Daphnia pulex: one gene and its partner. The protein of the gene in region 1 purifies or fractionates together with the protein of each later gene. This does not show direct contact. Links are inferred from orthologs where the notes say so. Each region holds a gene or a part of one and is shown in the gene's direction. Other genes may lie near its edges. The genes, in order: 3-ketoacyl-CoA thiolase, mitochondrial-like; 6-phosphogluconate dehydrogenase, decarboxylating-like.

Evidence for each region.
Region 2: the proteins of 3-ketoacyl-CoA thiolase, mitochondrial-like (region 1) and 6-phosphogluconate dehydrogenase, decarboxylating-like fractionate together in Homo sapiens (co-fractionation; 3 studies listed by BioGRID). This does not show direct contact. The link is inferred for Daphnia pulex from reciprocal best matches to the Homo sapiens genes ACAA2 and PGD.

What each region holds. Positions count from the first base shown.
Region 1 is NC_060024.1:9,776,466-9,780,389, reverse strand, and holds 3-ketoacyl-CoA thiolase, mitochondrial-like, read left to right. Parts: upstream 1-1,364; 5' UTR 1,365-1,495; intron 1,496-1,546; 5' UTR 1,547-1,547; coding exon 1,548-1,815; intron 1,816-1,876; coding exon 1,877-1,926; intron 1,927-1,993; coding exon 1,994-2,161; intron 2,162-2,225; coding exon 2,226-2,346; intron 2,347-2,413; coding exon 2,414-2,514; intron 2,515-2,580; coding exon 2,581-2,715; intron 2,716-2,770; coding exon 2,771-3,042; intron 3,043-3,101; coding exon 3,102-3,186; 3' UTR 3,187-3,335; downstream 3,336-3,924. Other genes in the region: 28S ribosomal protein S9, mitochondrial-like, read right to left, coding at 1-22, 85-160, 268-353, 420-593, 675-778, 833-989, 1,054-1,104; cleavage and polyadenylation specificity factor 73-like, read right to left, coding at 3,336-3,437, 3,493-3,615, 3,673-3,798, 3,860-3,924. UniProt on the Homo sapiens protein: In the production of energy from fats, this is one of the enzymes that catalyzes the last step of the mitochondrial beta-oxidation pathway, an aerobic process breaking down fatty acids into acetyl-CoA.
Region 2 is NC_060021.1:7,463,040-7,466,963, forward strand, and holds the start of 6-phosphogluconate dehydrogenase, decarboxylating-like, read left to right. Parts: upstream 1-1,256; 5' UTR 1,257-1,389; coding exon 1,390-1,406; intron 1,407-2,084; exon of another isoform or gene 2,085-2,152; coding exon of another isoform or gene 2,153-2,199; intron 2,200-2,275; coding exon 2,276-2,496; intron 2,497-2,566; coding exon 2,567-2,811; intron 2,812-2,889; coding exon 2,890-3,151; intron 3,152-3,210; coding exon 3,211-3,658; intron 3,659-3,730; coding exon 3,731-3,924. Other genes in the region: enolase-like, read left to right, coding at 1-67, 138-371, 432-554. UniProt on the Homo sapiens protein: Catalyzes the oxidative decarboxylation of 6-phosphogluconate to ribulose 5-phosphate and CO(2), with concomitant reduction of NADP to NADPH.

The sequences.
Region 1 (3,924 bases):
TCGTTTTAATCAAGTTAGAATACTATACCAAGAATAAATGAATAAACTTTCAGGCGTAAGTATTTCTCATAAAATATGCCTTACCTGTGAATCGGTTAAACTCTCAAGAAGAACACTCTCAAGACTTTCCTTTGATACCCAGTCAGTTCCAAAGAGAAACCTATATATTAAGAAGGACATTGAATTGAAAGAATTACCTTTAATCAGCATTTGATATGATACCAAATATTAGTAAGGTCAAAAAGTTTGTAAGATAATTTCACTTACAATTCACTCGACTGCTGATCTTGAATTCCTCTATATATCATTTTATCTTCATGGTTATCAAGCTGCTTGAATTTGACTGCTAAATCCTGGTGAATGGGAGAAAACAAATCATATCAGTTTCACACAGGTTAATGATCTAAAGGGTATGTTACATGCAGAAGGTTGTAATAGTTTGGTTTTGATGTGTAGAATAAGCTGTGAAAAGGTCTGCCATTCATATCAAATTCTGCTGCTTTCCGTTTGGGGTAAATTTCGTCAGGATGTTTCATCATTGGTCTTGCTCGTGGGTCGTACAGCCCAGATGGAAACAAATACCTGATAGCCTCCTAAATGTAGATGAAACAAAAGTTATAGCAAAGTTTTTTTTTATTACAAATTTCAAAAGATATTTTGAGTAATGATATTACATTAACATCATGCTGAGTGAAGAATTCAGGGTCTTTTCCCATCATGTTTGCCAAATGTCGTTTCCCAATATTATACTGGTGTAATTGCTCCTTGATGAAATTATCTAACAAATTCAGAGATAAACAAAATTCTATTAAGCAATAATTTAAATGTTTACCATGAATTTTTGCACGCTCCATGTATGATTTCATTGCTTTGCTCATCCGCTTCGTATCGCTCTCCTCAAAATCCAATTTCTGAACATTTGAACTTGCATTGTTGGGACTAAGAGATGAATATTGAAAAGCGGGAGAAGAACAAAAATAAGATCTAACCTAAATTATACAACATTAATAATTTCGTAGAATTTGTAATAAATCATATAATGGAAATATATACCCCCCGAAAGCACTTGGAGTTGAAAATCAACACTTCCCTTAGAGCAGCCATGTGTATCTTGTCTCTGGATTGTTTCTAAAGTAAAAAATATCGACTGGTTTGCACAAGCCCCGCCTTCATTTAGGAGAGACGGTTGTCAGACAACAACCATTTATTTTAAACAAATGTAATTTTTGGAGGTTAGTTTGGATTTGGAATTGGAATTTTTAAATTTCAGTTTTGTGTATGAATTTTTCTGTTTCGTGAAATTTAAAAATTACGAATTACAACTTACAAGTTACAACTTACAACTTTATGCCAACTAGGTCAACGCTAGTCTGCTACGATATCTCGTACTCGTTTACCATACCATATACGTCTTACTCATTGTATATAGACGTAAAAGACGTTATCAAAGTAGAATCGAATACTCTGCTTTCATAGTCGGTCAACCCTTAATAAGGTATCTACGTTTAATCTGCTATCTTCCGTTCTCAACCTAATTTTCGTTCAGAATGGCTTCATTAACACGCGGAATCTTCATCGTCGGTGCCAAGAGAACTCCGTTCGGTACTTTTGGAGGAAAATTGGCCGGCAAGACTTGCGTTGATTTGCAAGAAATTGCTGCCAAGGCTGCACTCTCTGCCGCCAAAGTCAATCCAGAGCTTGTAGATTCCGTTATTATTGGAAATGTCTTGAGTTGCTCTTCAGTGGATGCACCCTACATTTCTAGGCATGTTTCACTTCGATGTGGCATTCCTATTCCTACCCCAGCATTGACAGGTAAAATCAACATATTTTAATAGCATTTACACATTATTAACCAGACAAAAATTATTTCTAGTCAACCGTCTGTGTGGCTCTGGTTTCCAGTCAGTTATTAATGGCGCACATGTAACACAAATAATTCCACACCATAAAAATGACAGGAAATTTCATTCAATTGCATTTGGTATTACAGGATATTTTGATGGGAGATTCTCAAATTGTTTTGGCTGGTGGTTCAGATTCCATGAGCCAAGCTCCCTACGCTGTTAGAGGTATTCGCTTTGGAACCAAACTTGGAGTTGATATTAAGTTGGAAGACATGATGTGGGCTGCCCTAACTGACTTCCATTGCAAGACCCCTGTAATTATATTTCCTTTTGTTTGTTTGTTTCTTATCAGTTTTTTATTGTTGCAATTATTTTTAGATGGGAATTACTGCTGAGAATTTAGCTGAGAAATATAACATCACACGAGAAGAGGTTGACAAGTTTGCTCTCAGATCTCAGTTGAATTGGAAAGCTGCTCATGAAAATGGAAATTTCAAAGGTAATTAAAATTTGCATATCTCAGAATGTATACATAGATAATTTTATCTTTTTTTTTTATTTTACAGCTGAATTGGCTCCTGTATCTTTGGAAATTAAAAAGAAACCTGTTTCTTTTGACACTGATGAACATCCGCGCGTGCAAACTACCATGGAAATGTTGGCCAAGGTACTACAACTCCATAAAAGATATGATTCCAATGTTTCTATATCTAATTTCTGATACTTAAACTAGCTGCCTCCCGTCTTCAAGAAAAATGGAACTGTTACTGCTGGTACAGCATCAGGCATTTGTGATGGTGCTGGAGCCATCATATTGGCCAGCGAAGAAGCATGCAAACTTCATAATCTGACGCCATTGGCTCGTTTGGTATACAAAATCTTTACACTTTTAATGAATACATCATTAATTGTTTTATTTGTAGGTTGGTTATGGTATTGCTGGTGTTGAACCCACTATCATGGGAATCGGACCAGCACCTGCCATTCGTAAAGTATTGGCTAAAGCTAATTTGCAGCTGAAGGATATTGGTGCAGTTGAAATCAACGAAGCCTTCGCGGCTCAGACTATTGCTTGCCAACGTGAACTTGATTTGGATCCTGAAGTCCTTAACGTCAATGGTGGTGCCATCGCTCTTGGTCATCCTCTTGGAGCTTCCGGCTCGCGCATTACCGCGCATTTGGTTCACGAATTGGGGTAATTAATTTTCTTTGATGCGTTGAACCATATGCTAATTATTTTACTTTTATCATTAGACGTCGCAAACTGAAATATGCTATCGGATCGGCTTGTATTGGTGGTGGTCAAGGAGTAGCTCTTCTTCTTGAGGGCATGAATTAATCGGTTGTTACTTCGTGCGGGGCAATATTAGTGCGAAGACTTTGATTTTTAAGAAATCACAATCCAGTAACAATGCAAAAAATATATGGATGGATTATAAAAATACTTTAGCAGTTGTTTATTCTTCCATTATTAAATATCAATACAAGTTATTTTACTTTTTCTGCTTTTGGTGCCAAAGATTGATATAATTTAAGTACAGCCGTTTGAACCACTTGTTGAAATCCAACATCTTCAGGACATTCCACCTCCTTTAATAAAAAAGAATTTAGATTTTTATAAGAAAACGGTAATTTTAGACGTTACCAATGCTGTGAGATCTATATTGGCTCTTTTTCCGTCAACGGTAACAATGAATTTATCTCCTTTGAACATTTTTGGAACCGCATCATCTCCAAACATATCTTGAAGCATTTCTATCAAGCATTCCTATATAAATTCACACGTTTAGACCGATATTATTCTCAAACAAATAAAATTTAGTACCTTGAAGCGGGCATGATCAACAGTCGTGGGTAGCACAATCGTCCTCGAACCTTGAAGAGATTCGCACTTTAAGATAGCTGAAAGCACTGCGTCAGCGAACATGTCGTTCACAGAATCAGCCGCCCACTAAACAAATCAAATATTAAACATTAAAGAAGTGGTCTTCACAAATCATTAAGATGCGTACTTCTAATGTAACCAGAGTTTTATCAACAATGACATCAATGGCAGAGAAAAGGCGAAATGTTTTTA
Region 2 (3,924 bases), on another chromosome or scaffold:
TGAAGATCCCTTTGACCAGGACGATTGGGCTGCATGGACTAGCCTCACCGGCAACACTCCCATCCAGGTAAACAGAAAAGATTATAGACAATTTTTCAATCTATTTCAATTTCTGACTTATTTTTATTATCTGTCAGATCGTTGGTGACGATCTCACGGTCACAAACCCCAAGCGTATCCAAATGGCCGTTGATTGCAAGGCATGCAACTGCTTGCTTCTGAAGGTGAACCAAATCGGAACCGTGACTGAATCCATTGCCGCGCACAAGTTGGCCAAGGCTAACGGATGGGGAACCATGGTCTCTCACCGTTCCGGCGAGACCGAGGATTCCTTCATCGGCGATTTGGTCGTCGGCTTGTCCACTGGACAGGTAAAATAAAATAAAAGTGGTTTAAAGTGCCAAACTAACTAGAAATTTGTGTCGTGACAGATCAAAACCGGTGCTCCTTGCCGCTCTGAGCGTTTGGCCAAGTACAACCAGATCCTGCGTATCGAAGAGGAATTGGGAGCTGCTGCCAAGTACGCTGGCAAGAATTTCCGTCACCCATTGTAAACAAATGGACAAGATTCATCCCGACCTACGAGTCATTCACTTAGATTTTTTTCCGTCTGAGTTTCTCGTTACCCTACGGCTTGAAATTTTCTAATCCGTTAGTCCATTTCTATCTTTTAATCAAATGTCTACTTTTTTGTTGTGAACTTGTGATGATGAGAAACGACACTATAGAGTTGGAGTAGTCAAGTGTAGGTTTGGTGTTAAAACACTTACAATCCTTATAGTGATCTGAATGTGTTGGTTCTGATTATTATTTATGTTGATGTATTAAAAGTACCATCGTCATCCAAATCTCAATTTCAAGATATAATTGATAACGATATAAGTTCCAACACGAACAAATAATATGAACAGTTATATACTGATTGTGTGCGTCTGGGAAAGTGAGTAATGGGGTAATCTATTCCTACCTCCCGGGGAATTTAAGGTGGCTAATAATTAGGTTATCAAATCTCATGACTTTATAAGAATTTCCGTTATTTAAGGAAATGCGGTTACAACTATGTAGAAAATCACAGCAACCGCAGACCAAGCAAATACGTGTTTCTTCACGTTGACCACACCCTGAGGCGACGAATATTGTCGCAGTGGATGACTGAACGCGGCTGTTGTGGCGCGGGCTGTCACCTATCAGCTGTTGATAGGATAAAAACCTGTCGTCAAGCCGCACGGAATTAGGCTGGACGAATGATCGATTACTTTGCATTTTTTGTCTACCCCTCCCTTTCCAACATAAAACAGACGATCTCGCGCAGTCCCTATTCAGTAATTGTCGAGTCACGGTTCGTTGCAGATCACATTACCGGCTAGGAAAGCGTGCCTTCTTTTGAAAATGTCTGCTGAACAAGTGTAAGTACTTTTTTAATTTTTTTAAAATGCCGATGTTAACTTAAATCAAAAGATAGGGATCATATTTTTTTCTTGTTCCTCGTGGTGGTCTCTATTTGTTTCATATCGCCTTGAGAATAGTTTTCACTCTTACTCGACTGTGGTTTTGCGGATAAAAAGTATGTGGTTTTACACTAGATCAATTTCCCACATAATAGATAAATACTACTTTCTGTGCTAAGGAATATGTGGCAAGAATAGCTTATGCCATATGTTGGGAGAAGTGAGTGTACATGTCGAAATGCTTCTAGTTCGCCTAAATCCTCGACCTCAATAACAAATAGAGCAGTTGCTTAGCAACAATTGGTTGTGAAAGGTACATTCAATGGAGGATTTTCTTTTCGTGAATAATTCCTTAAGTTTTCGTGACTATGGCGTTATATATCGACCCTTCCAGTTTGAAATGAAATATATGTTGCTGCTGCTTGCCAGCCTCGCTTTCCCCTAAATTTGCTCCAAGGTGGAGTGGTCTGCTACAGCAGTCGATACAATTCGTGTCAGCCAATCACAAGTCGAGGCGGGACCGTTTAATTCTGTTTCAGCAAACAATACTACCTCCATTCCAGCTCTCTCCATGGATGCAAGTTACATTCGTATTTTTTTTTTTCTTATTGGAGAGTCATGTGCTTGATCAAGCTTATTGTCACTCGGTAGTCCCATCGCTTGAGACATTCACGCTGGATACTCTGGTTTAATTCATTTCTACCATGGGAGCTGCAGCTTGTAAACACGTTTTAAATTGTCCCGAACCAGTGTGCGTCACCAAGTTAATTCGTGTTTTGTGTTTTAATCATTTTCATCTAATTTTCTTTTGTCTTCCTCTTTCACAGAGCTGATATTGGTTTGATTGGTTTGGCTGTCATGGGTCAAAACTTGATTCTCAACATGGCTGATCACGGATTCGTCGTTTGTGCCTTTAACCGTACAACGTCGAAAGTGGATGACTTTCTTCACAACGAGGCCAAAGGAAAGAGTGTTGTAGGGGCACACTCCGTTCGTGAATTAGTCGCTAAATTGAAGAAACCTCGTCGTGTCATGATGCTCGTGCAAGGTATAATTTTCTAACCCCATAATTTCAACCTAATCACTTAATGATCTCGTGAATTTCTCTTTTTGTGTAGCTGGCAAAGCTGTCGACCAGTTCATTGACCAACTGGTAGAATTCCTTGAAGCTGGTGATATCATAATTGATGGAGGCAATTCGGAGCACGGTGATACAACACGTCGGTGCACCACCCTTAGAGAGAAAGGCATCCTTTACGTCGGTTCCGGAGTGTCTGGTGGTGAAGAAGGTGCACGATACGGACCTTCCTTGATGCCTGGTGGCCATATCGAAGCTTGGCCACATATCAAACCCATATTTCAGGTGAAATTTTTAACTCAACTAATAATACCACAGGAATAGAATTTTTAAAAGTTTTCCTTATGATTCCCCATGGCGTAGTCGATCTCTGCCAAAAGTGATGGAGAGCCTTGCTGCGATTGGGTAGGAGAAGGTGGAGCAGGTCATTTCGTGAAAATGGTTCACAACGGCATTGAATATGGCGATATGCAATTGATTGCCGAAGCTTACCACCTGATGAAAAGCGTTTTGGGCATGACTCCACCTGAAATGGCTGACGTTTTTGATGAATGGAATAAGGGAGAGTTGGATTCCTTTCTTATTGAAATCACTGCCAATATTTTGCGTTTCCAGGACGACAAAGGTATGCAGCTTCACAGCATATTTGTAGACATAATTTTTTAACTTTAAATTTTATTAAAGGTGATTATTTGGTCGAGAAAATTCGTGATTCTGCTGGACAAAAGGGAACTGGAAAATGGACTGCCATTGCTGCTCTAGACTACGGTGTCCCAGTTACCCTGATCGGCGAAGCAGTTTTTGCTAGGTGCTTATCTTCTCTGCAAGCAGAACGCATCGAAGCCTCTAAAGTGTTGCCTGCACCTGCCTTTAAAGCTTACTCTGGTGAAAGGGCTTCATTCATTGAAGCTATCCGTAAAGTAAGCACTAACTTTTATTTCTGTTTCTTTTTTATTTTTACTGTCTGTAATAAATTATTCCATTTTGTTTCTTTTCAGGCATTGTATGCCTCAAAGATTGTCTCTTATGCTCAAGGTTTTATGTTGCTACGAGAGGCGGCCAAGCAGTATGACTGGACACTTAACTACGGTGGAATTGCGCTCATGTGGCGTGGCGGTTGCATCATCCGAAGGTGGGAGAACGGGAACCATAACTTACGAAACTAGACTTAAAACACTATTAACAATCGGTGGTGTACTTTTAGTGTGTTTTTAGGAAACATCAAATTGGCCTTCGAGCGTAACCCAGATCTCAAGAGCCTGTTAATGGACGACTTTTTCCGACAGGCTGTGGGCACTTGTCAAGAGTCGTGGCGTGATGTGATTGCAACGGCCGCCCAATATGGTGTCCCTGTTCCGGCCTTCTCAACGGCCCTCTCTTTCTACGATGCCTATCGTT